Astyanax mexicanus: one gene and its partners. The protein of the gene in region 1 purifies or fractionates together with the protein of each later gene. This does not show direct contact. Links are inferred from orthologs where the notes say so. Each region holds a gene or a part of one and is shown in the gene's direction. Other genes may lie near its edges. The genes, in order: chchd4a, gfer, timm10 and ssna1.

The links.
Region 2: the proteins of chchd4a (region 1) and gfer purify together in Homo sapiens (co-immunoprecipitation; 3 studies listed by BioGRID and IntAct, with this or other methods). This does not show direct contact. The link is inferred for Astyanax mexicanus from reciprocal best matches to the Homo sapiens genes CHCHD4 and GFER.
Region 3: the proteins of chchd4a (region 1) and timm10 purify together in Homo sapiens (co-immunoprecipitation; 4 studies listed by BioGRID and IntAct, with this or other methods). This does not show direct contact. The link is inferred for Astyanax mexicanus from reciprocal best matches to the Homo sapiens genes CHCHD4 and TIMM10.
Region 4: the proteins of chchd4a (region 1) and ssna1 purify together in Homo sapiens (co-immunoprecipitation; 3 studies listed by BioGRID and IntAct, with this or other methods). This does not show direct contact. The link is inferred for Astyanax mexicanus from reciprocal best matches to the Homo sapiens genes CHCHD4 and SSNA1.

The regions. Positions count from the first base shown.
Region 1 is NC_064431.1:28,413,371-28,420,841, reverse strand, and holds the start of chchd4a (mitochondrial intermembrane space import and assembly protein 40), read left to right. Parts: upstream 1-4,207; 5' UTR 4,208-4,364; coding exon 4,365-4,386; intron 4,387-6,183; coding exon 6,184-6,282; intron 6,283-7,339; coding exon 7,340-7,471.
Region 2 is NC_064410.1:54,128,274-54,136,029, forward strand, and holds the start of gfer (FAD-linked sulfhydryl oxidase ALR), read left to right. Parts: upstream 1-4,664; coding exon 4,665-4,880; intron 4,881-6,343; coding exon 6,344-6,549; intron 6,550-7,141; coding exon 7,142-7,304; 3' UTR 7,305-7,756. Other genes in the region: drg2 (developmentally-regulated GTP-binding protein 2), read right to left, coding at 544-641, 1,554-1,644, 1,790-1,862, 2,583-2,673, 2,764-2,824, 2,903-2,992, 3,078-3,238, 3,961-4,024.
Region 3 is NC_064414.1:44,292,012-44,300,254, forward strand, and holds the start of timm10 (mitochondrial import inner membrane translocase subunit Tim10), read left to right. Parts: upstream 1-5,091; 5' UTR 5,092-5,244; coding exon 5,245-5,315; intron 5,316-8,166; coding exon 8,167-8,243. Other genes in the region: uncharacterized protein LOC111195959, read left to right, coding at 1-2,055, 3,360-3,655.
Region 4 is NC_064408.1:19,791,920-19,800,056, forward strand, and holds the start of ssna1 (Sjoegren syndrome nuclear autoantigen 1), read left to right. Parts: upstream 1-4,942; 5' UTR 4,943-5,182; coding exon 5,183-5,234; intron 5,235-7,777; coding exon 7,778-7,977; intron 7,978-8,137. Other genes in the region: anapc2 (anaphase-promoting complex subunit 2), read right to left, coding at 290-491, 1,047-1,179, 1,400-1,724, 1,912-2,167, 3,128-3,238. UniProt on the Homo sapiens protein: Microtubule-binding protein which stabilizes dynamic microtubules by slowing growth and shrinkage at both plus and minus ends and serves as a sensor of microtubule damage, protecting microtubules from the microtubule-severing enzyme SPAST.

The DNA.
Region 1 (7,471 bases):
CACCTATTTTCCCTTGATAAATATTCACTGCATTCCTATCAAGCTTAGCATTATGCAGAACGACATTTATTTGCTTTTTTATATACAGTTATTATAGGATGCAGGTGAATTAAGTAAAAGGCAGAAAATTTGGTGTGGGTGTGTCCATATCATAAACCCCAACCCTCGTAAATTCCCACCTACTAGGAATCGCTCAGAGACCTAGTTTTGATCACTGAGAATGTCTTTTTTTTTTATTCTGTATTAAAAATTGTTACACCCCTAATATTTACCAAAATGTCACTGTGTTTAATATAACCTGAGGTTATTATAATTCAGTGTACTGCTGTACTCTACTATGCATTCGCCCTGTTATTTCTCCTAATTTCTGGCTCTATGTTGGATTAAGATAAATTTGACTGTAAAGGAAGTGAGATCAGACAGGTAAAACACGTTATTTGTAATTAATTTCATAGATATTTGTAAGAATTATTAAACCGTATACCAAAAAGACCTGATAGGATAGCTTTCTGTGCTGTCATTTGAAAAGTGCCTCACTTCTTGTGGATCTGTCTTTCTCTCAGATAGTTTATTGGATGCCACTGTAGATGATTTTTGTAAAGATTGTCGCTCTATTGTGATACTTTTCATGATGTAAATACAACTGTGGGGTGGAATGAATGATGGTGACAAGGTTTTGGCTGCTTAAGAACAATACAGTACTTTTTTCATACAGATCAAATTAAAGCAGTATTGAACTAAACATAATGAGAATGTGTGTTTATTTTGGAATAAAATATTACAGATGTGCTTTGTTTAATCAGTTTTTTGAGAATGTTATCTTAAATCATTACATACCAGGTTTGACAAGGTTTTAGACCTTGATTAGCAAATGAGGCCTAAAGACATGCCACCTATTGTAATCAGAAAGTGTCAACTGATTTCAATCTGAAATGATTTAGACAACTTCCAACAGTTAGTGGACGTGACCCACAAGCTGGTCCCAACATAGTCTTTATGGGTTTGTGAAAGCTGTTCACAGTGCTGCAGCTAAGCAAATACCTTAAGATAAAAAAAATACAGTAATCAATGCCCACGTCAGAAGAGTCTAATAGAAAAAAAATAAGAAAACATTTCTGAAGAGTGGAAATTTATCAAGAAATTACAGTTCAGGGGATCTTTGGAAGACCAGGAAAACTTCTGGAGAGAATCACTCATATGCTGGTAAGACAGGCAAATCCAAAGCTCCATTCAACTACCAAGAACTTGAAATAAAGACACAAACTTTTTCCCAAAATTTTCCACACTGCAAAATATCAAATCAAATCATTTTTTCCAACCACATCAGCTTTTACTGGTTACAGCAACAGTGCCCCAGCTAATGCTGCTGATACAAGAGCTACTGCGAACATGTAAATATAAGAAAAGCAATCTCAGTCTTCACCTTCTCATTCACACTTTGTTGACCCCTTAAATGCCTTGAACCTTGTACAAGGACTACAGGTGTAGTTAATACAAATCCCTTTTTCTCTGCAGTAAAATAAGTTATTTACACTCTGGAAACTTTAAGGGCTTTAAAATCTCCTACAGGACACTTGAAGAAGCTGCCTGTTCACTCTCTACTCCACTTAATTATTTCAGATCACTAACAGTCATTTTTCCAAGTGGTACAAGCAGTATATTACACTCACCAACACAAATCCAAAGCATAGGTCAATATACTGTTGCACTATTTAACTCGTTTAAAGTTTAAAGATCTAAGAAAAATAGTTAAATATATATATTTTTTAGTATGAAACTTCTTCTGCTTGCCTTAATTAGTGTAATCCACATATAATATGAAAATGGTCCATCTCACATATTTGTGACCACAACCTGCAAAAAAATAAAACTAAAACAAAATTGCAATGCTATTTTCAATGTTATGTAAAACGATTGTGTTTTATATGGTGATGTTTTCAAAGTAATAAAGTAGAGAAACATTACAGTAGTAACATTATTTATTTTAAGAAAGAATTGTGAATTATCCTAATTGGACCATTACCTTTTAGAGGTTTTAACACCATTTGGTTGCACCAAATATTGATAGAATTATTAGCAGTGGAGTTAGTAATGAAATATTTTGAATAATTAAACATGCACCAGGTCAAATTGACCTGGGAACACCATTGCTGTTCCTGACAAATTAACATAACAGGAGGGTTTACTTCTCTACTTAAAAAGAAAGACTGAAACGAAGAATATCCAGCTCATTGAGCTGCAGTGAGCTCATAGTTGAGTGTGTTTGTAATCTAACAGTGACTTTCTTTCTGCCACATTCGGCTCCAGAATAGCTCAGTATTGACAATGGAGGCAGGGGAAGCTTGGCAAGCGCTCCAACCTCAAACTGTGTGTGTTGCTACTGTAACTATGAGCAACCTTTCAGAGCAAATCCTCTCTCCTTTCCCTTTCAAATGATTTATATAATCTCTCGCCCTTTGCCCAAACATCCCTCTCCAGGTTTAATATCTGAGGCCTTTGTTAAAGCGACACGGCGGGATTGCTGTGAATTGATGGTCAGCTGTACCTGAAAACACTGGACTGACCCCTGATTTTACTGTGTCCTCAAACGCAGGCCGAGTACAACAGCGGCATTAAAGCTGTTGGGTTTTACAGGTTAGATTGGGGCTGTTTGGTTTAACCTCCATTCATAAATCCTTGACTGTGTTTCAGGATTGATGACAATGGATTGTTTTTGCTGCTATCTCTGACACACACACACACACACACACACAAATAAAGGCCTTGTCCTGCATCAGTTTTTTTTGTTTCTAAACAAGGCCAAGTTAGTTGTGCTAAAGAACAAAAGATAAGGCCTGCATCTCATGCACTGATGAGAAAGGCTTGCTTAAAAAAGGGATATAAAAGAGAAAATAAGCAGATAATAAATTTTATCTATTTTCATAAAAAACACAATAAGCCATTGCTCCTCTATTTTTATTTACGATGCACAGACATGGGAATTGTGGGTCAATATCTATAAATGTATATCATATTTGATCCTGATTATTAATAATCACAACCCCTGAGAGCTGCTTGGTTCATTAGCTATGAAACAAAAGGACTTTGAGGCCACGTCTTAATGGCTATGATTTAATTAACTTGTTCCCACGGCTTAATAAGTTGTGGCCACACCTTAATTATCTTGTTGCCAAGCCAAAGGTTCTCGTTCCAATTCCTTAATAAGTCGTGTTATCTATCATATTGTTATATGTTGTCTAATTCTGTGAATTTTCCTGTTTAATGAGCATGTTGGTTCCAAGAATAACTAAAGAAGTCTGTACCTACTAATAACTTGGATGGTGTTAATTGTCAGATTTTATTTGTATACTTGTTTGTTTAATACATAATAAAAAATAAAATAAAATAAAAACTTGCCTAAAATAGGAAGACTTACTTTTGCCCTATTATACATTTTCCGGGGATTTTTATTATGAAATAACTGGTCGCCAGTATGTTACATAATAAAAATATTAAATAAAATAAAAAACTTGCCTAAAATGGGAAGACTTTACTTGTGCCCTATTACATATTTTAACGGGGACTTTTATTATGATACAACCGGGCGCCAGTATGGTACACACTAAAAAAATAAAATAAAACAAGCAACGTAACTCAGTACAGTTCATACGAGACTGTAAAATTCCGCGTTTCCACGTCGAAAGCCGTGGGAGGAGGAGCGTTTAGAAACGTGAATATAATAGTAATAATAAGACGATCATGAATAATAAAAAACTTTACTTTACTTTTGCCCTCTTATATAAATATATATTTTTATTGGGACTTTTGTTATAAAATAACAGAGGGCCAGTATGGTACACAATAAAATATTTAATTAAAAAACTTGCCTAAAATTTGAAGACTTTACTTTTGCCCTATTACATATATTCTTTTTCTGGGACTTTTATTATGAAATAACCGGGCGCCAGTATGGTACAAAATAAAAAATTAAATAAAATAAAACTTGCCCAAAATTGGAAGACTTTACTTTTCTCTATTACGTATATTTTTTTCCGGGGGACTTTTATTATGAAATAACCGGGCGCCAGTATGGTACACAATATTTTTTTTTTACGTTTTCCTCAATAAAAAAATTAAATAAAACAAAAAAAAATTGCCTAAAATGGGAAGACCTGATTTTTTCTCTATAACATATTTTTTCCGGGGAACTTTTATTATGAAATAGCCGGGCGCCAGTATGGTAGCCCCCGTGCCGCTGTGTTGAGTGTCCGGTGCTGAGAGCAGGCGTGTGCGGGTTGTGCCGGTGAGCAGTTTGGGACTGAGAGCGCTGAGAGCGGGGCAGAGCGGGGCTTTCTGCGGGTGATCGGTCCTCTCCACTCACCAACATGTCCTACTGCAAACAGGAAGGTATGATCCGGCTCAGATCTGCTGATCTGCTGCTCTGCGTTCCTCAATGTCATCGGGCTTTAGCCTGCTAGCCCGCCATGTGTTCCTGTTCCCTAGCTTTATCCAATCACCATCACTCTACAGCATTAAACACCTGCTAGAGGCAGAGTACCTGAACACAGGGCTGAGTTACTGCAGTGTGCGGCTGTATAATGATCTGATAACTTCAGTTAGTTCAGTTATGTATGTGTGGTTGTGTAAACTGTAGCTTGGAATATTAAGTAACAAGCTAATAAGTAGCTAATCATCTACCTGTTCCTGGGGTCAAACTCTGTGACCTCCATGGTGTTGTGTAGAGACACAATATAGGGATAGTATGAAAAAGTGTGTCTTGAAAGTGTGTAATCAGCTTTTCAGTTCTGTATCAGTGTCTGATGCAACCTACAGGCAAAATCTCAATTAGATCATCCTTATCATGATCATCATCCTTATTAGGCTTATCACATTAACCACATTAACAGTATTTTGTACGGTATTTTGTCTCAGAAATGATTGCGATAAACCATATTATCATTATTTTAAGGTCATTTAAATAGCACTGTATTTATGATGATATAATAGCATAAAAAAAACATTATATCATTTAAAAGAGACAACAAATTTGTTAATCAATAATCATAGTTTGGGAAATATATACACTTTTTGTTCACCTACTGCAGCCTAGACTGTGTGTACAGAGTCGCAGTTATTGAAGAAAGTTTAGAGCTCCTGTGTTTCAAAAATAAATATATATACACATATACTTTATGATAACATCACAGACAGAAAAAATACAATATATTGCAATATTGATCATTATTCCCCAGCCCGGGTTCAGATTAGCAAAAATTTAGTTTTTTCTTGTTGTCAACACACCTATTCTAATTAATTAGGACATATATTTGTTTGTTATATTAAATTGGTCCTTTTTATTATATTTTATATATTTTTTTAGAATCATCAGCATGGTCCAATTTGGCCAGTTTTCAATGGCCTCGCTACTAGTTTTTTTAGGGTATAATTCTAAGTTATAAAGTTATAATGGGTGTCCAGACGCTCTGTAATTTGTAAATGTGTATATTGGCAGATATATATGTGCGCAATATCAGATATGGACATTAACCTATAATTCGCACATCGGGGCGTCACAAGAGAGAATGTTCATTCAGTTTATTTAATAAATGTATGAATGAATGGCTAAAGTGGTTGCTCAAGTGGGCGATATGAGGAAATTGTATAATTATTGTGATCAGTTTTGCTACAGCAGCACAAAAGAAGTATGAGAATCATTGATATTGTCTTTGACTATTAGAAAATACAGCATAGTTACAATGAATTGTCCTAAAAGCTTGTGTATGTGTCTCTGTGCTGTTGTCCATAGAGTATATATTGCATTTTATTGCAATATAATCACAATATGTTTAGACAGTATTTATACCATGTTGGTAAATGTAGTAGTGGTGGTGGTTGATATATGCGACACCATGTTAACGCTAGTCACCTGAAACATTAGCTTACGTTTACATGTATACATTAAAACTAGAGGTCAGATAAGGTAATCATATAGAAACACCAAAGTCCGGGCTCACAAGGTTGGAATTGCATTAGATAAGTTTGATCAATGGTCATTAATGCTTATACAGTGTTGATATAAAAATATAATAGTATTGCAATATGTTATGCAGGTTACAATGGTAGAAAATCCCAAGATTGAGCATTTGCTGGAATTGCTTTTTCCCAGACTGAATGTACTCACTCTTTTTCTCGTCTTCATGGCAGGTAAAGATCAGATCATCTTTGTGACCAAGGAGGACCACGAGGCCCCAAGTAATGCCGAGCTGGTAGAAGATGACCCTAACGATCCTTATGAAGATCACGGTGAGCTTCTAACTTTATTTAGTTTATAAGTATCACGTTAAAAGGGAGGTGTGTTCAGTTTTCTAACTGATTACGGAATAATGGCACTCTATTCCAAATGCTCAAGCCTTTTCCACAGCCTTTACACAACAACAGCTTTAATAGTGCAGTATTAAAATAATTATACAAATAAAAAACACCTTGCTAGCATTTTTGGGCGAAGTACTGAGCTAATATTAGAGCTAATGCTAAGACTGCTCAGAAGTCATTTTAATCAGATATATGCTCATATTTATCATTTTTGGAGGAAATTCAGTACCAATCGTTAGTTCATGCACACCTTAAATTGAGTGTTTTTTTTCACTTATGTAAAATGTTCTGCATTGTAGATTAATACTAAAGTCATCCAAAGTATGAGAAAAAATAATTTAATATATAATATTTAGTAAACAAAAAAAGTGTTAAACAAAGCAGAATATGTTTTACATTTTAGATTTTGCAGGTTTGCATATCTTGGCTGGATTTTCTCAGTCAGCTTTATGAGGTAGAGTCAGGCTTTCAGTTAACAGCTGTGCTGAACTCATCAAGAGTTAATTACTTGAATTTCTTGCCTCTTAATGTGTTTGAGATCATTAGGCAATATCCCTATTTTAGCCCTATGTTCCAATCCATATTATGATAAGAACTACTCAACTAAATAAAGAAAATACTTTAAGAAATAAAGGTCAGTCAATGTGGGAAAAAAAAAAAATCATTAAATTACTTCAAAACAGTAAGATGAAACTGGCTCTCATCAGGATTGCCTCAGGAAAGAAAGACTAAGCCTAAGAAACTGTAAGTTAACAGCTTCCCAGATAAGAGCACCTAAATGCTTATTCACAGAGTATTTTGGTTTGTTTAACAAACAAGTTATTACATTATTTCTTATATATTTCTTTATAGTCTGGATGACTTCAGTATTAATTCTCATAGACTCGTTAGTTTTTAAGCATTTTTGGGCAAAGTACTGAGCTGTTATCATAGCTAATGTTAAGTATGGTCAGTTTTATTCACATCATGACTTTGTGACTCCTCCCAGGTCTGATTCTACCCAATGGGGACATAAACTGGAATTGCCCGTGCCTGGGCGGGATGGCCAGTGGTCCCTGCGGTCAGCAGTTCAAAGACGCCTTCTCCTGTTTCCACAACAGCAAAGAGGAGGTTAAGGGCT
Region 2 (7,756 bases), on another chromosome or scaffold:
TATATTTTTTTCTTTTCCCCATTTTCTCCCAATTGTCGCACCCATTCAGCTGCTACTCAGCTGTATATCCCCCATTACTGATGATGCTACAACTTAACACCAGAAGGGGGAAGACTAGCACATGCCTCCTCAGACACATGTGAAGTCAGCCACCACCTCTTTTTGAACTGCTGCTGATGCAGCATTGCTGAGTAGCGTCACAGCGCACTCGGAGGAAAGCGCAGCGACTCGATTCTGATAAATCAGCTCACAGACGTCTTGTGGTGATCAACATCACCCTTTGGAGTAATGAGGGGAAAGACCTAGAGAGAGCAAGACCAATTGTTCTCTTTCAGGGCTCAGGCAGCTGATGGCATGCTATATGACTAGGATTCAAACCAATCTCCCAGTCATAGTGGCAGCTCTTTAGATTGCTGGACCCTTCAGCGGCCCAACCATATTATTTAAAAAAAAAAAAGTATTATTTCCAAAATGAACAACCAGATATAAGGCAAATATGTGGAACATATTAGACAGATATGATGGATGCAGACTGCTACTCACGTATAAGCAAGGCATGTACACTCTGTTGCCAACAATAACATCGATAAACTCGTCCGGTGTGCAGTCTTCTCTAAATAAAACCTCAGCATTGAAGATTTCTACAAAATCAAGTTAAGGTAATAATGTTCCCATATTGTTATTCCCCCTAAGAGAGACAGTTACAGACACAGACAATGTGATAACGTTTGAACTACCATAAAATAAAAAAAATAAAAAAAAAGGAACAATCTATGAGTAGTGTTGGGCAAATGGTCGGAAGCACCACATAAAAGAAAAAGCAAAGTACAAAAGATCCCTTTTGTTCCCGTCATATATATTTATAAGTATGTCGTTAAAAAATAAACACACACACACACACACGCACACCTTCAAGCAAGGCAACTGCTACCTTATTGGGAAGAGCCCTGTACCTCCATTTCTGGGCTGTTTTAAACAGGTATCCCCCCCCTACAGTATATATGCGATTGCCATCACTCTTTAACATACACAGTTAAAATTTTTCCACCGACATGGACTGGCATCACTCTGGTTTGCGAACCTAAATTTGAACTGGTTCGACATGTTTCCACCAACAAAAGTAGGTTCCAGAACCAGGAATGTTCGTTCGTAATGAGAACCAAAAAAATACTGGGTCCTTCAGTGCAAACCATGTTCACTGCCACTGTGCAGCACCCGCTGTTGATGTCGTATAATTAGCTGATTTGAGAGTTCCCACTAAAGCTGTTGGAAACATGGTCTGGTTCACTGAAAAGCACCGTGAGGAACCAGAGGTTATTTGACAGAAAAGAGCCAAATGTGTACACGTAATTAACATATATTTTTGTTGGATAGACTCATTCAGGTTAGTAAAGCTCAGTAATTTATCCCGTCTTACTCTTTTAGGACCCTACAGGTAAGTTTGAGCAGTGCTAAACAAAAACAGGTAAGTATATACAATTGTCTGTGTCACTAACGTGTCAGGGGTACCTTACATCATTACCAACACAGACAGCAATGCTGATAAAGGATACTGTATTCATGAAGAATGAGCTGAACAAGCTTCTCTGAACAGTATGTGAGAGGAAGTGTTGAATTGAAGGAGAGGCCACCTCCTTTCTTAGGCTGAAATGAGAAGAGAATATTTTGTAAGACTTTTGTAAGAACACAGTTCAAGGTCCAAATCAGAGGATATGTATCATGCAAACTGTTAAATGTTAAACACCTTAAGTACTCCTGAATGCAGGAAGGTAAAGAATGTAAAAAGTACCTTGAAATAAATGTTTGGTTTGCACCGGTTGAGTCTGATGCCAACAGATTCAAGCTCTTTTTCAAGAAGTTCCCTGAAAGATTAAAAAATAAATCATAGGACACTTTATCTTTTTTATTCACTATGAGGGTTCCTATGAGGAAGAAATAGCCAGATAGAAATATTATAGACAATACTCAATAAAGGGTGCACAATATTTTGGTGGTGTGGCGCAGTGGAGAACACCACTACCTGCTAGTGAGCTACCACATCTGGGGTTCAATTTCTGGTCTGGATGACTAAATGCTGCACTACACCAATAAGTGTCCTTGGGCAACTTTTGTAATAAAAATAACCTTGTAAATAACCTGGATAAAAGTGTCAGCTAAATGCTGTAAATGTATTTTTTTTTATTCCCCAACTATTGCTGCTGCTGCCAATTTCATTTTTTCATTATTTTTAGTTAATTTGATAGGAGCTTCCTGTTTCTGAATATGTCTAAGATTTTATTCATCCCTGAGGGCAAATTTGCAAAAAAATATATCTGTTTCTGTATATTCAGTACATTTTCTGTTTTATTTATAATATTATATTGTATATCTAAATGTATATCAGTCCTACCCTGTTCTAACTACCTGAAGCTCACCACAAGCATTTTAACTGCACATGGGCTAGTCTCATAAATGTTTATTTAAAAAACTTGTCCACGTTATGTACCATAACTGCACAATATTAAAGACATCTGCATACCAAGTGTAATCACATGTGGCAAGTCACAATCCATGACCAAGTCTCAACGAGGCATATTACTCACCTTTGAACCTCTCCTTTGGTTGCATCCAGCATCATGATAACCACATCTGCAGTTCTGGCTACAGCTATGACCTGTCTACCTCTGCCCTTTCCTGTATGGAAAACAACATTAACTTATTAGAATCAAGAAAACAAGTGCAAACAAAAATGTCAACATCCACTAACATCCAAAAACCACACACCTTGAGCAGCTCCTTCAATAATTCCAGGCAAATCCAGCAGCTGTATATTGGCACCTTTGTACTGAAAGAAAGAGAGCATGATGAAACATTTAAATAATTTAAAATCTCCAGAAATATAAAAATTCAAATTGACAGGTACCTCAATGACACCTGGAATGCAAGTCAATGTAGTGAACTCATATGAAGCAGCTTCACTTTCTGTCGATGTCATCAAGCTAAGAAAGGTAGACTGCAAAAGAATTGATTGTTAATGCAAAATAACAAACTGTATAACTGGTAATTAACACACATACACAAATAGATACTCTGATTACCTTGCCAACTGATGGAAACCCGATTAGAGCCACCCTGGCATCTCCTGATTTCATAACATCAAAACCTTCACCTTTGGCTCCTGCTGATTTTGAAGGCTCCAAAAGTTGTGCTCTGTACTTGGCTAGCTTGGCTTTTAGCAGACCTAGATGGTACTCCGTAGCTGCAAACATGTTTAACACAGATAAGGACATACTTTTTTTTCACTACACCCCACATCCATTTCACACCGTTTTTCTCCTTTAAAATAAAGTGAACTTTGTAGTTGAGACTGATTAAGGGTATTATTCCTATTCCTAAATAAACAAAACAGTCTTACACTTCAATCAATCAATCAACCTTTATTTTGCCTCGGAAGTACATTTAGGGCAACCCTCATCTTTTAATAAAGCTAAGCATTTACAAAAACAGGGATTGGCATGACAATTAATAACTACATTTAATAATATTAGATTAAAATAAAATAAAATAACAATAACATTAAATAAACGAAAAATAGATAAAATAATACAATAAAATAATAATTAATGGTTTAATTGATAAGAAATTAAGATCAAATTATAATGCTTAGTAAGACAAACACCTTGAAATTAGATATTTTCGCTTATTAAGATTTTGGGTTTTCGAGGCGGTGCAAAATCACCTTCCACAAAGATCCAACAGCTGGCTGTAGCTGTACAGGTATACAGAAGTGCCAAATCCAAATCCATGAAGTCAAAACCCACCCCAGTATTTTGTGGCAGCTGTCAGTGTGATTTAGCTTTAGAATAGATCCACATTCATGCTGCCGGACTGTACAAAACAGTGGTGTGGATTTGTACTTTCGGGACCTGGATTTAGCACCTTCTAACGTGGCAGTCTGGGCTGGCCGGCTAGCTAAGCTACCTTTGTTTTTCTGTGTCCGAGAGATTTCTCTCTCAATCTCGGCTATCTTCTCCAGAATCCCCATGCTGAGGGAGGGGTGAGGTCCTCAGGACGGTGAAGAGACCTGTGAGAGGAGCAGCTGAACAGAAACACAGACAGACAGACCGCTAGATTAGATTAGCTAGGGTAGCTAATAGAAGCAACTAGTAACTGTAGATAGATAACTAGCAAACTTATCGAGCAGTTTTACAGAAAAGCCGCTAAACGATGGCATTTCCGGCTTCGACATGCACATGAAAATTAAGATATAGGTGTTTATTTGTGGGTACTTTAGAATTTAACACTCACGTATAGAAATAAGAGCTGTAAAAGTTGGGAGAAACCGAACTCACTCTCTAGCAGCACCGGAGAGCACGCGGTGTCGCTCTGTAAGCTGTCCGCTGAAAACACGGCTTTGCGGACTGATCGTTCCGCCTGAACACGGACTAATGCTAGCTAAGTTAGCTAGCCAGTTTAGTTATTCTAGAATTTGAAATAGTATCTAAACTGTTATAAATCCGAATTTAATTGCAAGATGAGACGTTTTCTGATGTTTCTAAACTGACCAAACGAGTCTTGCCCTCTTCCATGGTACGAAACGTAGCTTTAAATCTAGCTAAGCAAACATTAGGTTAGCTAACAGCTAGCTATCTTACGTTAGCTAAGTAAGCTAACTAACAGCCGTCATGGCAGCTCCGTCAGGGTCGCGGTACGGGGACAGTGACAGTAACAGTAACAGCACTGGTATGGAGGGCTTCCCCTTCCCTCCACCTGTCAAACCGCCTGGAGAAAGTTCAGAAAAAGAACAGGGCGTGAAAAAGAAGCCGTGTCGAGCGTGTACAGATTTTAAGTCATGGATGAAAGTTCAGAAGAAGCAGGCTGCCCCAGGTAACCCAGCACAGGTGAGTGACTGACTGGACAGTGTGGTGAAGTTTCCTGAAAAATAAGAGTATCATTGAAAAGTTACTTTATTTCTGTAAATCAGTTCAAAATGTGAAACAGTGAAAACCCAAAAATCAGTGTCTCAGAAATATAGAATATAATTTAAGACCAATTGGTATTTTTGGCAGTGTGGACAGTGTGCCAAGTCCTGCTGGAAAATGAAATCCGCATCTTCATAAAAGTTGTCAGCAGAGGGAAGCATGAAGTGCTGTAGGATTTTCCGGGAAAACACTGCTCTAACTTAGAACTTTGGGTATAACACAGTGGACCAACACCAGCAGATGACATGTCTCTCCAAACCATCACTGATTGTAGAAACTTCACACTAGACCCAAGCAGTTTGGACTGTGTGTCTCGCCACTCTTCCTCCAGACTCTGGTCCCTTGATTTTCCAAATGAAATGTAAAATTTACTGATGATCAGTGATGGTTTGAAAAACCCTGTCATCTAGGGGTGTTGATCAAGTGTGTAATATCAAGCCCAAAATCATTGCAGTGTTTTCCCATAAAATCTTACAGCACCTTATGCTTCCCCCTGCTGATTTCATTTTCCAGCAAGACTTATCACACTGCCCACACTGACAAAATCTTATGTAGTATTAAGCCATAATCATCAACAATAAAAGAAATAAACACTTAAAATAAATCCCTCTGTGTGTAAAACATTTATATAATATATTAGTTTCATATTTTAAACTGAATTACTGAAATAAAGCAACTTTTTAATGTCATTTTTTGAGATGCACTAGTATGTATCTTCTAAACATACAGGTATGAGTTGTCTTTTCACAGCAAGTTATGTTTGTTTAAAATAATTACATATTCTGCATAGAGTTCTGATCTCTTCTTTAAAGAAAACTTGTTTTTAGTATTGCTCAAACTGATTTCATACTTTTAAAAGTACCTGGCAACCTGGCTATTTAGCAATTGTGCACACAGGTTAAAATCAATAAGGTGAAATTCCACATGGTATTTGAAGATCTCATTCATGTCAGCCCCAGACAAATTTACAATTATTGTTATCATTCATACATACTTGCCACCATCCTGCACTAAAAACATTTATTTTCTTTTTACTGGTTAATTTGACAGTTGTCTTAATGACGAAAGTGTCATCTGTCCACCAATAGAAATGCTTAAAAGTGGCTTGGAATAAAATATTTGAACATTAGCTTCCTATAAAAGTTACGATATTTTTTATGTACAAGGTTATTTCATGATGATAATATACAGGCTAATACAGAAAGCCAATACTCTATAATCCTTTTAGTATGGTCAAGAGATGCTGCTGACTCGATTTGATGCTATGAATCGTTTCCTTATTAAAAGAAACAAACAAAACAGTTTACAGTTTACCAATTTACTCTGTGGGCCAATAAATGTAGAAAATACCATCTTGGCTAAACTAGAAATTTTGCTTTTAGGAGACTCAGGTGGCTGAGGAGAAGCTGGTGGAGTGTCCCCTGGACAGGGAGGAGCTCGGGAGGAGTTCATGGTCTTTACTCCACACTATGGCTGCCTACTACCCTGATACTCCCAGCACATCCCAGCAACAAGAGATGAGCCAGTTTATCAACCTGTTCTCAAAGTTCTTCCCATGTGACGAATGCGCTGAGGACCTGAGAACAAGGTGGGATATACACAGTATTTAATATATTAGCAGGATTGATCTAGCTGTCTGCAGACATGCACTCTATGTCAAAATGTTTGTGGACCCCCCCTTTTAATAAATTCATTGCTGACGTAGATGTGCACATATATAGAAATAGCTTGTTTAATTTCTATGGAGAAGTATTTGATTGTGTTCAGTGACAAAAGCCTTACTGAGGTCAGGACTTCACTAAGGCTTTTGTCCCCTCACAACAATGCTCCAAAATCTAGAAGAAAGCCTTCTCTGCACAGTGCAGACAGTTACTCCAGCATAAGCAAGATAAACTCTTTTTTTTAGAACAAAGAATGAGCAGGTGTCACAATACTTTTGTCCATATAGTGTTTTGTCTGCCAAATTTATTTGACTCTTATCTCTCACGAAGTATCAAGCTTATTCAGACAATTAAAATATATATATATCCAGCATATATACATATACTGCCTGAAGAGTTATTACTGGGGTTGGATGCTTTATTTTTAGTTTTAATTGTTGTTTTCCCACTGTGCTTTTGGCTGTATGTTCACTTGAGCATCTGTCCCCTTTTTGACTCATCGTTTCTATCTGTTGCCAGATTGAAAACAAACCAGCCAGACACCAGCAGCCGCCACAACCTCTCACAATGGATGTGTCGTCTCCATAATGGCATCAACATCCGATTAGGCAAGCCAGAGTTTGACTGCAGCAGAGTGGACGAGCGGTGGAGAGATGGCTGGAAAGATGGCTCTTGTGATTGACACTGACATGCCCTCCACAGCTGATTCACTGGAAAACACAAAACAGAACCATCAGCTGCTTTGAACTTTTTGCCTTGGGCTATAATAACTGTTGTTGGAAGCGGCTATTGTGTCTCATATACCTGATATGTTGTACATGATGTTATACATATTGCTGCTGTACACAGGCTTGTTGACTACTAAGACCAACATGAAATTTAAACAAAATAATCAGCTATTATGACTTTCTTTACAACCAGCTTGGTCAAGAACTGGTTTACCAAAATATAAGTATTTTGTAGCTTGGATGACCAGATTTCAACCACATTGACCATCTAAAACATGGCAGACCTTTTGATTGCAGCTCAATATTTGACAGTTGTCCCAATTTGACCCGTTTCCTCCAACATAACATTTATAATGCTATTCTTTTGTCGTTTTTCACTTTTTAATGTGAATATGGAAGTGGTTCT
Region 3 (8,243 bases), on another chromosome or scaffold:
AACAACAATCTGAAGGTGCATCTCTGAGGGATTCTAAAAGACTTACTAAGGACTCATCTAATGTTATACACCAAGAATTGGTCAAGCAAATATCAGGCTCTATTCATGGTTCCAGTTCCATTGCTGACAATAATGGGATAGATTTAAGTGAGATGAGACTGCCAAGATGTCTTTCACCTCTTGCATCAGAAGACGTAGTCACTGATGGTGATCGCCAGAAACATACAAAACTGGCCTGTACTGTCCTCTTGAGACCAGTTTCAATGCACCTGATTTCTTCTCCCCAGACAGAAACACTCCCTGACAAAACTGGCCATCAGAACCCATTGACTCCTCCATGTATAAAACCAAAAACTGCATCAGTGTCTGGTCGAAGTACACGCAGTTTGAGGTCATGTCAAGGTTGCATCAAAGATACCAATGATAGACGACTGGAACAGGTAATTACACCAAGCCTCAATAAGAGCAGATCTACCAAAAGGTCCAGCATTGATGTTTCTCTTGATGAGCCAAATAAGAAAAAACGTATGATGCTGGATTGTAACTCAAGTGGAGATAACACTAAATCAGTTAAGGTTGTGACAGAATGCAGTACAAGTAGAGAATCTGTTGTTGGCATCAAATCTACAAAATGCAGTGATTACTCTTGTACTGAGAAGACATATTGGCTCAGACCTGGTAAGACAGTCAGAAGAGATCAGACCGATCAACAGTCCAAGAAGAAGGTAACAAACTTGCAGACAAACCAGTCTTGCAAAAGTAAAGATCAAGTAGAATGCACCGAAGCTGTGGGTAAAAAAGATTCTGTTATGGTAAAACGTGGACATAGAAGACATCCTAAAAAAGAAAAAGACCCTGTAGAGTTGCAAGACAACACATCTGTGCACCAAGATTCGCAAACAACAGGAAGCCAGGTAAACCAAAAGCATAAAGAAAAAGAGGCACCAAAAGCAAAAATACTTTCAAAAGCTATTTCTGATGTGAATTTGAAGAAGAAAGAACAAAAAAAATCCACCAGGCATGCTAGTCACACTAAAAGAAAAGGTATTGTTGATCAGGTTTTCCACCAGACTATTTTTACTGTTGGAAGCACTATTGCCGGGAGTTTACCTTCCATTGATCAGAAGCTACAGTCAAGGTCCATGAATGCGGAGATTGCTCAGATAGCTGAAAGGAAAAGAGGCATTGGCCCACCACTGCCTCACATCGTTAAAAAGTTTAGAACACTTATAGACCAGGATCACATTAGAGGAAGAAAGTTGGTGATCAGTGAAAAAGAAGTGAATGATTCAACTGAAAAAGGCAAGATAGAGAAGATGATCAATAAAGGAAAGATGGATATGGACCAAAGTGAAAACGACAAGAATGTGGAGTCTGAAAACAACAGTGAGCAGTTGACAACAACCAAAAAGGGAAAGGGATGCTTGGTTGATGAAAACTTCGGAAAGGAAATGGATAAAAACCTAATTGATACAGTGTCTGAATCTATAAACTCCCTTAATGGTTCTTGTTCTGTCGATCTCAGGACTGTTGATGTGAATTGTAATCTCGATTCTGATTTGCCTACTGTTCTGTTAGCAGGGAATTTTGATATTAACTCCAGCAAAACAGATGACCTTCACAGTGAAACAGCTAAAAAATGTCTAGAAGACACTGAGAGGACCTCAGACCAGACTGATGATATCCCTTTAAAAAAAGATGCCCAGAATCACCAAGACTTCAACCAGGATTGCAAAAAGCAGCAAGTAGAATCAAACGAAGAAATGGGAGCCCTTGTAAAGGAAATCCGTATACAGAATGAAGAACATGAAGTTGAGGGAAGTGATGTTGACATAGAGGTGATGGAAGTGAGTGCTCTGGTTGCAGCAGCAGGTCATGGAGATGAGGCAGCTACTTCTGCCTGCTACGGTGGCAAGACTGAGATTGAGCTGGAGAAAAGTCAATCTAGTGTCGGGAAGAGTAATGGAGAGTCTGTTTCTCATGAGGCGGCACTAAGGGGGCCACTGCTCATAAGGACTGAAGTTCTGCATATCTCATCAGATGAAGATTACAGTAGTAAGTGAATTTTAAATTACATTATGGACTTTATTTTGTATTATTATTATGCAGAGGTTAGATACGCAAGCCATTCTGAGAAAGGACACATTGTAGAGAACAGAACATAAGTGAGTGAGTTGTCAATGCAATGGATGTCATTAATGATGGAAATTCACCATATTTGCGTAACCTATCTGGACCTGTAAAGATGGCAATTCAAACCAAAAACAGGAATGGTAGTGTCCATAAATGCACACTACCACACTAACTAGTACAAATATTGCACTTCTATTACAGATGTGTTTAGTAATGTATTATATGAAATATAAAAGTGTATGGTTTGGGACACAGTCATGGGTTTTTTCAGAGAGCGAGCTTTACTACAACTGCAACATGCACACTTTGTTTTTATAAAGCAATGCAATGTTATGTTATGCAATCATAATGCATACCTGCTTTTGGCTGAATCTTAAATACCTCCTCCCTCCTTACATACTGAACTACATAAGTTAAAACCACAATGTCTAAATGTACGGTAGATAGCCCTAAATTTCAAAATGAATAAAGATAAGTGGTGTTCTATTACAATTAAATGACGTTCTGTTTGAATTTAGAATACATAATCTTTCTTTATAAGGTATAAGGTACCCCATATAGGGCTAGCATGGAAGTGTTTTTTCCTCTATGTGGACGGAAATATTTAAAAAAATGGAGAGAGGGAAATACCCAGATACCTGTGAAATGTAGCCTTTATTTATTGAATCGCCTTGAGAATTCTGTCTGTATGAGAAAAATGGCAAGTACAAATGTATGTACAGCTCTGAAGGAGGAGACATATATCATGTATTTGAATGCATTACTGTGACATTATTTTGTTACATACAGAATACTTTACTTTTGAAGTAATGTCTGAGGAATGTGGCCCCTGTTGGATATGATTGTTTGGTGTTTTATCTTAAGAAGAACATATCAAACACCTAGTAGATATGAAAGCGAAAATCATTTCCTATTTTGACAAAGCTATTGTTTTAAAACCTTGGCTCACTGTTGGTTTTGGACAACAAATCTTATCAAACATCAGAAGAGAATTAACCTCCAACAGATCGTTGGCAATGCAGCGATGTTACTGTGTTTTTGTAGATAGCAATCTTGGAACAGACTTTCTCCAAGTTTATGGCGTTTTCGCCAGCTAAGGTAACTCTTACAGAAAAAGATTGATCGGATAACACTTTTGGCGTGAAGGCCACACTACTAAGATTTATTTAAATTTCATTAAGTAATAATTATCTTTGATGTTTTTTATTCATGTTTTTATGTCGCAGCTTTAATGCATACAGGATTACCAGCAATCACAGCCAACAAAGAAGAGAAGTCTTATCTCAGCATGGATTCCTCAACACTTGCAGTTAAACATGGATGCAACATTGAGACAGAGGGCCAGAAGTGTGGGGATGATGATGATGATGATGAGGAGGAGGAGGAGGTAGTTGTGGATGACCTCTCAAGCTCTCCTCCTGTTATTTTGGCAAATTCTTTAACAAATCAAGAAAGCATGACTGTTCTGACAGATGAGGAACTGAAGTCAGAGGAAGAGGAAGATGTTGATGTGACTGGATAGGACACAAACTGAACTCATCCTGATGTTTGCGAGAAGGAATCATCTTGAGTTTTCAGCAAAAGTGAGTCTAAATTGAATCTATAATGTTAAAGGCTTCACCAGTTAATCAGTGTTTGATTAATATCCAATGGTTCGTATTTTTTTCGTTGTTGTTGCGGTATTGTTCAGTTATTTTATTGTTTGTGATTCTGTAAATATGTAAATATGTATAAATATGAAGGTAAAAGCTGGCAATGTTGGTTTGATTAGTGATGTTCAGAGATTTCCCTGCTGAAAAAAACAGCATTACCATAACAAGCTTGTTCATCTGGTTAAGCTGGTTAATTCTGACCAGTTTTGTTGGTTTCAATGGATTAGCTGGTCTACAAACCAGATCATTCTGACCAACTGGTCTACTACCATAATTAAAAGAACTATGCTGCTTGCCATCAGTAGCCAGAGTCTGAGAGAGCACAATTAGCCATGGAAATTGGGCAGAAAAGGGGGTAAGAATGGAAAAATAAATAAATAAATAAAAGTAAATAATGTTGAAAGCCATATCTAACATCCACTATGCTGGTCAAAAGCTGGTTCAACTTTTTTTTTCTTCTAATTCTAAACTCTTAAGGACTACCACTGTCCCTAGTAATGCTCCCATCGCTCTGTGGACATACAGCAACCCAGCTCTGATAGATACATCAGCTAACAGACACCTGTGCTGCTGACCGACATCATCATGGTAGTGATAAAGGGGGGAGAGCATAGCCAGTTGTGCTCTCTTTGACTCCGGCTGCTGATGGCAAGCAGGATGACTGCAGATTTGCAAATTGAGCATCTTAAAGACCAGCTGATAAATCTCAAATTTATCAGAACCTGATTGAGCTGGATTTTTCAACAGGGATGTGTATTTTACTGGGCCACAAAATACTGTGATTTCTCTTTTTATTTTTATAGTTTATTAATTTAATTTTATTTATATTTTTTTGGTTGTTTGTTTCTTTCAAAAAGGCTATATAATGTTTGGGAAAGATTAAAAAATGTTACGGAATTGCCCATTTGAATCCCAGAGTATTTTTGCTATCAGCAGCCAGAGTCAGAAAGAGCACATGCATGTTTGCACAGTTGTTTAACCTCTTAACAGGCCAGGATTTTTTTTTATCAATTGTCTTCCTTACATTACGCCACTAAATCCTGAGTGTTTCTATTTAAACATTACATAAAAAGCTTTCATGTTTCATAAGGAACATTAGAGTGAAAACAGGCAGATTCTCCAAGTGTCCTGTGCAATTTTTCAGAATGTAAATAAGTTATTTTTCTACAAAAAAATGTTTTTTTTTTATCAACTTACGAGGCAAGGCCTGTTAAGGGGTTTAAAGGGCATATTTAAAAAATAATAAATAAAAAAACCTTATTGCACAACACTGACATCAGTCGGTTCAGAGTGGTAACTGCAGTGAATCAGAGGGAGCCATGTTGACCCAGGAAGCAGTGTGAGAGCTGGGCGGCCCCACGTGTGCAGCTCTCCGGCTCTGAAGGTTAAACGCGCTGTCGGTTCTGTGAGAAGCGGAGAGTCCACGGTGGAGGAGAAGCCGGAGACCCCAGCTACAGAGATGGACCCCATGAAGGCACAGCAGCTGGCGGCGGAGCTGGAGGTGGAGATGATGGCAGACATGTATAACCGGTAATATGAACAGCCTGTACTTTACTAGCTTAGCTTGCTTTGTTACCCTGCCTAGCATGGGGTTTAGCCACTGAATCATTTGATTGAGTCCGGGGGTTCGGCTCTTCTCTGTATTCCTCTCTTTATTAACCATAATCTTGATTTTTCTAACTTTGTTTCCTTTGCATACATAACATTTTTTTTTAATATTCACATTTTTAAACGGTGCAGCACATTGATATACTTTTGTTTTACTGTTTAAATGCATTGCTAGCTGTTAAAGCAAGCTGACTAGTATTTAGACTGTAGAATATTTTAGTTTCTACATAACTTGTTCTTCTGGTAAACACTGATGATAAACATTTCTATTATAGACCACCAGCCATTTGGCATGGTAGCTTAGTGTAATCTTGTTAGTTTGAATGGGGGATTCTAATAATAATTCTAACCCAATACCTTCTGAAGATTCCTTGCTGCTCCTCCTCTTTTATCACTAAGGAACTGCAGCCACTCTGCAGCTAATAGCAGAATGATTGTAGAGTTTTATAAATATATCTTGTAATTGATTTTCCCATGGTAAAATACAGTAAATGAGCAGCCCAAACGTTTCCAATAGTGTCAAGGTCCGTGACCTCCTTCTCCTTCAGTGTGTCCTCCTCAATGATGCAACAATGATTCTTCACGAGTCAGGTCACCCCTAAAAGAAAAGCATTCTTTACCTCAAGGGTAATTAGCCCCCCACTTACTTACAGGTACTAAAGGGTGACATCCAGCATAACTCAGTGGTTTCCTTGCTCAGACACTCCAGATTTAAATTGTTAGTCAATTAGGTACAATGATGGTAAATTTGAGCAGGACAGCCACGAGTTTTCTACATACCCACTCTACACGTTTTGAGTATACGCTTTGGCATTAAGAGTTTAAATCACCATCTAAATACATCACAGAACTGCAAGTGAATTAAGTATATATATTTTAAAAGTATACTTAACTTGGAAAAAACATACTAAAATTAAAGTATGTACTTAAATGCATATTAAATGTGCTACTTTGGCAATAGTACTTGTAGTAACTTGAGTATATTTCAGTTGTAATTAAAGGTAAGCTATATTTAAACACAACATAAAAGCATTACATTTTGTATTTGAGTGTTTTTTTCGTACAACTTCTGCAAACCTAAGTAGATTTAGGTATTTGTTTTTAATACACTTGAAGTATATTATAAATGTACTACTTTGCTTATTGATGCCCATATTGTGTACACCTTAATAGTACTGGGGGGAAAAACACACTAAAATGCACTTTGAGCAGTATTTAATGCCACTATATATTAATTATGGAAATACAGAGAATGTTTATTTAATGTGTATTTTCATAAAGTATATTAAATTGAAAATGCACTTTTAGTATTCTTTACCTAATTTAAACATACTTTTAATACTCTTAAGTATACTTCATTTTCACAAGGGTAGTCCTAACATTTTAAAGGTGGATGTTTACAAAACAAACAGGAGGACAGATCCAGAATCCAGAGTTAATTTCGCTATGTGTTCAAGAAGCTCTGGGCCTGCTACAGAAGGTCTGAATGGAAATGGTTTGCTGATACCAGCAGAGTATATATCGGCAGATTGGGAACTGTTCAAAGCCTTTCTCTGTCAGATTTAAACAGAACTTAAATTCAGAGTTAAGTCTGTTCAGTAGGATATTAGCTGAGGAACATTCCTATTTGACAGTCTTGTAGATTGTAGATTATTGTAGATGTCCTTTCCCTTTGAATGCATCATGTATTCTCATGGCTGGTATCTGATCACAAATAGTTGCCGTGACACCACTGTTTAAACGGTGATAGCGGCATGTATTGATCTTTCTGTGGTACAAAAAAAAATTGAATCCCTCGGGCTGTTATGGATCACATGGCTTCAGGAATGAATGTAAGGATTTTAATATTTGGTCCTTGTTGCTTATTTACATAAACGAGATAGATGACCCTTAGAAGAGTATATTTTAAAGTCAGATGGGCAAAATGGCAAAACTATTGTTAGAATTCGTAAATGTTTTTCACATACTGCAAAAATAACTAACAGTACTGCCAGATTAAAACTTAAATACACTAATTGCAAATCCAAATTTTCAGTTTGTGTGGGCTTTAACAGAACTAATTCTACTTTTCTTTTTCTTTTCTTTTTTAATTAAACCCTGTATACAGGGTTCGTACGGTCATAACAAACTTGGAAAAGTCATGGAATTTGAACATAGAAATTTCCAGGCCTGGATAAGTTTTGGAAAAATTAAAATACCTAGAAAAATTTTAAAAAGTCAATTGTGAGCTAATCAGTAAATCATAAGGCATTGACATACTAAATATGCAGAAATGTTATTCAGCTAGTAAAATGTCATGTTTCAAAGTTTGTTTTTTTTAAGGAAAAATATAGGCCTACTATAATCAGTTTTGACATGGATTTTTTATTTATTTAAATTTTTCCATGTCTGTACTGATGTTTTAAAGAGTGGATGGTCATGAAAATTTACTTTTGAAGGCATTTGTTTGGAGTTCTGATATTAGTAATCATGCTTATATGAGCATATTGTGTATGTCAGTGGAAAATTCTGGTATTTATTTTCCTGTGTGTTTATGAATACACAGTGGAAATCATTTTTTACATTTGAGATTCTTAAATATTTTCTCTATATTTAGGATCTGTTGCACTAAATAATACACCTTCCTAATGTTTTATTGTTGCTTTCTAGCAGAGATTACATACTTTACTGTCATTAGCTGTATTTATTTAAGCCAGATATTAAATACATTGCTTACAATTTTTTTGTTGAAGTGGGAACTGTGTATTTAAGCTTTCTCCTATTCCTTCTGCAGCATGACCAATGCCTGTCACAGAAAGTGTGTCCCCCCTCACTACAAGGAAGCAGAACTTTCGAAAGGCGAGGCGGTGT
Region 4 (8,137 bases), on another chromosome or scaffold:
TTCTTTAGAAATATTATTAATTAATTTAACCATACACATCTTGATTCAAAGTAAACCCAAAAGAACTGTGACAGTCACAGGCCCTTTAAAACTTGTGTAAGGTTTCTTACAGCACTTACAGCATTTACTTTATATACTGAACGACCTGAGAGCATCACAGCACAGTTGGAAATTGTGTGATCAAGTGACCTTATTTACAGAATGTAGGAGTGCTAAGTTAGTGCTTGAGTTAAAAGTAACTATTCTTAAATGTGTATATTTTTTAAAAAAAGGTCATTTGACTTTTTACCTCGAATGATGCTGAAAAGCTCATCGATCCTCATGTTAACGTAAATGCGGCAAAAGAACTGGTGCATGTGGCAGCGCCAGCGTTGGAGGATGGCACTGCCAGGCTGGTCAGGTTTTCCTTTGGCAGCTACAGAATCAGTGCCAGCCTCGTCCACTTCACTGGCAAAGACTCTGCTCAGCCAGCCGAGCACCTGCTCCAACCACTAAAGCACAAACAGAGGACACTAATGTGCAAGAATTTATAACATTTTCAACAATAACATTTTCATGTTACTGTATTTAAAAAAGCTGTTATTTATGTCTCTGGTGTCATTTATTAGGACAGTATAATCTATTAATATAACACAGTTATTATTTAATAATAAAGAGTATAAAAAAACCCTCAAATTTCTGCAGATCTTTAAGTATAGGTTTTCATGGGATGAAACTGACAAAATGACACTGACACAATGAAGAGTAGTCTGTGTGTAGATTATATGACAGTGTATTTATTCTTCCCTCAAAATAACTCAATAACATTTCGTTTAGACATTAATGGCTGTACGTTGAGTTATTTTGAGGGAAGAATAAACTTACACTGTTATATAATCTATACACAGACAAAATGACACTGACACAATGAAGAGTAGTCTGTTTCATCCCATGAAAAGATATACTTAAATATCTGCAAAACTGTGAGGAATAACAAACATAGATTGTTCAGTCCTTAAAACAAAACAACAAATTGACCATTAAAATATATGCCAGAATCCTCATACTTCATTGAAGTCTGCCAGAAAGGAATTCTCATATTCTCCCCGGCACCGCTGCTCCATCCTCTCCTCGATCAGTCGGTGCAGAATGCTGGTCACTGCTTCCGAGCTAACCCTCCCCAAGAGCTGCAGTCTGGATCTGCCACACACCATTATAACAACAACACATAAAAAGTTACATCACAGCACCCAATGCTTGTACATCTGTATGGCAAATTCTTCTTTTCCAGCATGGAATATGTAATCATATTGATGTCTTCTCTTTTTACCATGGTGCTGTAGCAGAACTATATCCCACCCATGTAAATTACATTACACTATATTACAAAACAATGCAATCCCAATATTCCTGCACTCACAGGATGTGGCTAAGCTCCTGCAGCTGCTCCAGGGCCTCCTTGCACCAGCACAGCTGAGGTGGGGTTGCACAGCCTGGACAAACACAGGCCCCGTCAGCCTCCTCTGCTCCCTGCTCCACCTCCAGACCCTCTCCCACCTGGCTCATGTGCACAGAGAAGGTGCGACTGTAGAACTCCAGCACCCTCTTTTGGAGCACTGGCTGAGGAGAAAAGAGGAGGATAGCACGAATGACCGAGAAGGCCCTCTCTCGGAGCCCATGGGCTCCAGGGCCCACCAGACCCCCACGACCTTCATCCTGCCAAGACCCAAGCTGCTCAAGCCCACCTGGAAGTTTAGAAACAGATGAGAAAAAGGAAAGATGATGAACGGTGATGAATAATGAATAATAATAAGGTTTGTTCACCTGCAACTGAATCAGCACATTTCTGACAAAAATTGCAAGCATTCAAGCACTGCAATCTCCATTTGATTTAGAACAGTACCTACAAAAACAGAAGAAAACATAGCTTACCAAGAAATGGTTCAAGGCGCAGCAGCAGAGTCCTGAACGCATCTAGCAAACATCTTGCTCTGTCTTTCTCCTGTGAATCTCCTTTAGGCTGCTCTAAATTACTCCAGAACTCCGGAGCCACATCAGTGGTCAAACGAACCTGCAAGGTCTCCAGCAGCCAGCCCTCCACATACTGAGCCAGCCCTTGTTCACACAGCAGAGCCAGAGCATCAGAAATAGTGTCATCAGGAACTGAAGGCGGTACTGCAGGAGAAACCTACAGGATGCAGATGTGAGTTAATTTTTTTTTTTCTACTATTTTTTTAAACATTGTATATGTGTATACATTTAAGATATAACAATTAAGGGACACGTGAAATTACAAAGTAAACAAAAAAGTGTTTGTCCTCCACAATCTCCTGGTCTAAACCTGATTAACTAAGATGGCAATTTGGGATGATCTGGAGCTTTACAGTATGAAGGAAAAGCAGTAACTATTGTTCAGCCCCTCCAGAAACTCCTTCAAGACGTTGAGAAAACTATTCCAGGTGACTCTCCCTCATAAAGACCCTGAGATTAAAATACTGTACCAAGAGTGTGCAGATCTGTCATCAAAGCTAAATGTGGTACTTATAAAACATATACTGGTTTGTTTAACACTTTCAATTTAGAAAATATTTCAGAATATGTTCCTGTATAGCTTTAATATTGTCTTCAATATTACATTTATAATGTAAAAGAAAAAAAATCATAGAAAGAAAAGAAACACATCACGAAAAAATATTTTGTTAACGCAAAAGTGCCCTGAAATATCGTAATATTTTTGTCAAATAGAGCACAATTAGTTGGGATATATTATTCATTGGCTAATGTGTGTTTGTACCAAGCATCTACATTAACATATACGAATGTAAATATACATTTGCAAGCATAAAACGCTTACACCTCCAAAACTATTAGAATTGAAAGAGCAAAAACTTGACAAAACTTGACTGTTCTTGCATCACAACATATATATAACTGTAAACTGGAGATCAGTGCAGCCAGCTGACCCTGTCTTTGTGCTGTACTGCAGGATGTTTACACTATTAGCAGGCTAGCTAGCTAACCTAGACTGTATGTATCAGATTAAGAATAGCCCGAACTACATTCCTACATCATAATAATAAACGTTACTCAGCTCAGTGATAACCCTGAGGACTGTCAGTGCCTATATATCTGCACAGCAGCAGCTCACCAGAGCAGCGGTGACCGCGGCCCAGGCTGCAGGCAGACCCGGGGGAACCAGCACCGCCCCGCCGTCCTTCATTCCCCCAGCTCCGCGGGTCCGACCACCGCCTACAAACATACAGCCCGCCGTCCCCGCAGCATTTCTACCGAACAGCCCGCGCCCCGAGGTTCTGTACCGCCGTGTGCAGTGATTACAGCGGCTTAGCTTCAGCAACTCGAGCTATACGATCTCCATTAGCTCTGGTTCTCCTGCTGCTGCTGTTTATTTCCGCGCTCTTCTTCAAGCTGCTGTCCCTCAGTGATGACGTCCACGACCCGATGACGCTGAAAAGGCTGTATTTTTTTATCCACAGGAAATTACATGTCTAAATGTGCACACAAAATACATTTTATTGTTAAACACAGTGTCTTGTACATAGACCTACTTGCAAATGTAAGATATGTGACTAAAAACATTCATAAAAACTAATTGGAACACTGAAAAAATACCATTTGTTACCTGTATCCCCACTTATTATAACCTTACCATAAAATATACAGCTCTGGAAAATATTAAGCAGCTCCAACTTGTTGCAAATGTGGTAAAATGAAAAAAGCTTAGATTTTTCTTTTCACAGTTTTTTATTTTACATTTGACTGGGAAATACCTGTATGATAATGAAAGTGAAATGGCAAAAGGCCATTTTAAATTGCAAATGAAGGGTTTTAATTTTGTTTGTAATTTTTGCCATTATATTTTCACACGTTTTGAGAAACAAGTATGCAAAATGGATTTACATCCTATACAACAGTGCTGATCAATCCTTCGGTCTCTATTGAAAACAAAACTGGACAAAATAAAAACTTGATTAGGTAGCTATTGTATACAAGCTTTTACGATTTACAAATGCCAAAGCTATGAAGTAAAACCATGTTGAGTAAAAAAATCTTTATATATTTCTATTTAGCAACCTAGAAAAATGAGAATAGCTTCAGAAAGGAATATTAATCTATTATAAATACATATTTAAATAGATTTCCTGACTAGACAAACCCAGTTTCATGCAAAACTGTTAAAAAAAATAGTTAAAAAAGAAACACTAGCTTAGCCGCGCCCACATCACTGGAAAAAACAAGAGCGTTGTACTTAAATTCAAGGGATAAGATTGTGGAATCATTTGGAGAGTGACGTTAAATATGCTAGAACAATGTATGTGTTAAAAAGAATGATAAAAGTTGGTTTGTTTAAAAAAAATTAAATAGTATAATGTGTATCTATACGAACTGTTGTTTGGGAAGGATTTGATGTTTTTGTTTAGTTTTGTTTTTTTGGTAAATTACTAATGTTTGAAAATATTCTTGGAACAAATGAGGCAGATATTCTAACATTTTTTTTCTTCTTTCTGCTGCATTTGATTTTATTTGTGATTTGTATTTGTATATAGAATTAATTTTGTTTATAATGAAATTAATCAATCTTCTAAAAAAGAATAAAAGCTAATTGATGCAAATGTTATGTACTTTTTATTTTGTATTATTTTTACTGTGTAGAAATGGTTTGTGAAATTAAAGGTCAATATCAAATTTAAAACACAGGCTTCCAGTACAATGGACATAAAAAAAACTATTAGATATTTTAGTTAATTGGATTTAACTGGACGTCATATTAGAGTATTAGATTATTATTTTTTGTGCATTTTTTATTTTATATTTTATATTTATATTTGTATATTTTCATTGTAATATAACGCTGAAAGGTCTGAAGGGGTTAAAGCTGTATTTTATTCCTCTCCAGTCCAGCAGGGGCGGAGTCGCGCTGAACTGCAGTGTCTCCACCCGCCATAAGGCGCGTTATTTCAGGAGGAGAAGAAGAAGAGCTGCAGGCTGAGGTTGTTGTAGAAACAGAAGGAGGCTGGAGTCAGAGGGAGTGAATGGATTCAGCTCAAACTTTCTATTAAGAGTGAAGTTACAGCTGTGCGATAAACTTGTATATACGAGGAGTGTGAGGATTTTAGAGATATCTAACCTATCTTATTTAATCTAACTTTACTTTACTGCTGAGCTGAAACTCAGTACAGTCAGCATGACCCAACAAGGAGCCGCTCTACAGACCTACAACAACGAGCTGGTGAAGTGTGAGTAACTCTACATTAACTCTGTTATATTAATAAAGTCTATTATAGTAATGTAAAACTGTTAAATTAAAGTTCTGACTGTGTTTTACTGGTTGTTTCAGTGACTGTCGGGGTTAATGTTAATGTTGAGCTATGTGAGCTGACAGTTGGTGGACTGAGATTAGCTGAGTTAGATTAAGTAAACTAGGTTAGGTAGTTTTAAGGTAGCTGCTGTCAGACCCAGCCTTACTTTGCAGGCCTTCCATTAAAATTCATGTTATTTAGCTATATATCTTACTATATACAGTACCTTCCAGTCTAACGTTTGTTAAAACATTCCTATATTTATATATTATTTATTTGTATTATTTACTACATTGTAGCATGAGTTATCTTTTACTGAAAAAATACAACATGCTATAATGTTAACAAAATGTGAGGTTTTCATTTATAAACAATTTAAAAAGGCGAAAATTCAGAGACCACTTCAGTTTCTGAATTGGTTTCTCTGATTTTGTTATTTATAGGTTTATGTTTGTGTAAAATGAACATTGTTGTTTTATTCTATAAACTACAGACAACATTTCTCCCATACAAAAATGTCATTTAGAGAATTTATTTGCAGAAAATGAGAAATGGCTGAAATAACAAAAGGATTTAGAGCTTTCAGACCTTAAATAATGCAAAGAAAACAAGTCCATATTCATAAAGTTTAAGATACATTTTTGATGGAATAACCCTATTTTTAATCAGTTTTATGCACCTTGGCATGTTCTCTTCCACCAGTCTTGCACACTGCTTTTGGATAACTTTATGCCAGTCCTGGTTCAAAAATTCAAGCAGTACAGCTTGGTTTGATGGTTTGGGTTGGCCTATATGGTTATATTGATATAATATACACTGCATGAAATAAAATTGCCACCTGGATTTAAGTAAGTAAATGATGTGGGGTTGATGCTGCAGTAGGTCAGGTCTAGGTTAAGCAACAGTATGTGCTGAAAGAATGAGGGCAACTGAGTCCAGACCTTAACCTCATTGAGAATCTTTGGGATGTGCTGAAGAAGGCTTTGTGCAGTGGTCAGACTCTACCATCATCAATGCAAGGTCTTGGTGAAAAATTAATGCAACACTGGATTGAAATAAACATTGTGACATTACAGAAGCTTATTGAAACAATGCCACAGTGAATGTGTGCTGCAATCAAAGAAAAAAAAATTGGTGGTGGTGTTGCCTTTTTTATTTCTTTTTTTGGGCCAGGTAATGTTTACACATGCTTGTTTGGCACACCCCTATACTTAGTACGAGGATTTGCTGTACTATATCAAATAAACTTACACTGTCTGTAACTACTCAGTGTTCATAAAACACTAAAGAACAAAAATCTTATGCATTTATACTACAAACTGAATCATTTATTGCGTATACTGAGTAACAGGTCTTGGAACTAAAATTAAAAAAGGTAGGGTTCAAGAGGTCAGGACAAAGCCAACACACCCACATCCCTCCGTCATTATCACTTTTACATGATTCAGCAAGATGTCTGCTGTGATCTATAAGTAAACAAACTCCCACTGAAGTTCCATTACCTGGACTTTGCAGTAATTAACTGCGTAGATCATGTTGATGCTTTACTTGTCATAGTGTTTGTGGATACTCCTTCCAAAGAATGCATTCAGCTATTTCCAGTTGCACCCAGTGCTGACACAGACGTGCAAGTGCACACAAATATAGCTTGTCTAGTGCCTGTGGAGAAGTATTGCCTATAGAATAGGACAGATAAACATGAACATGTTGGCACCATGCATAAGGGGATGGGATGGATTAGGATGGGGAGTTGTGTGGTCACTGTTCTTGTCACTAAAGGCAATTAAATTCTCACAGCAATGCTCCAAAAGTCTTTCCTGGACAGTAGAGATAATTGTTTCAAAAATTACTTCAAAAAAGCAGAATAAACAAAGAAACAACGACTGAGCAAGATGTCTTCATCGTTTTGGATGTATAGTGGATGTACATTAGGAGTGGGCAATATGGCACTAAAATTATATCATGATATTTTATGATATTTTCGCAATAATGATACTTTTGGCAATATGACAAAACGCTGAATAAAAAAAACAAATATTTCAAGAACACACTACTGCAAAAAAAAAAAAGAAAATATTGTTTTATTATTGAAATTTTATTATTTATTATACAAGAATTTTATCAGATTTGTAACAGAAGTCAATGATCCAGAATGTCATGATATTAATAATGCACTCCAAATATCTCCATATATCCAGGATTAGAGTAAAAGAAATAAATGATACTGGACAGATATAATTTGTCTTTAGTAGATATATAATGGGAAATGAAAGCAGTGTGATTTTTTTTTTTTGTATAAAAACAGTAAAAAAATAAATAAATAAAAAATTGTTATATAATTAGGGGTGGGTGATATGGCACCATATTTCAAGGTATAATATTGTTCACAATTTAAAAAATGTACATGCATTAGATGTGTAAAACCTATTGTAAGAGCAAGTTGTCCATTTATGCTTAATATCACAGTTGTTTCTTCTCAGGTATCGAGGAGCTGTGCTTTAAGAGGGATGAGCTGAATAAGCAGATCCAGCAGGAAGAATCAGAGAAGGCTCGTCTTCAGCACGACATCCGGGTGCTGACTGAGAAGCTGAGCCGGGTGAACGAGAGCCTGGCCCACCGCCTCACGGCTCGAGCTGAATTCGACCGCACCATCGCTGAGACTGAGGCCGCGTACATGAAGGTCAGCATCCAGGCATTTAAAAATAAATAAATAAATACATTTTGTAAATCCTGGACAGTGTTTGAGTCTTATAATTGGCCCAGTAATCCTGGGCCATGTCTACTGTGTGCAGACACTTCTGTGAGAGGATAAGAGCCAGTGAGCCAATCTGACGCAGCTT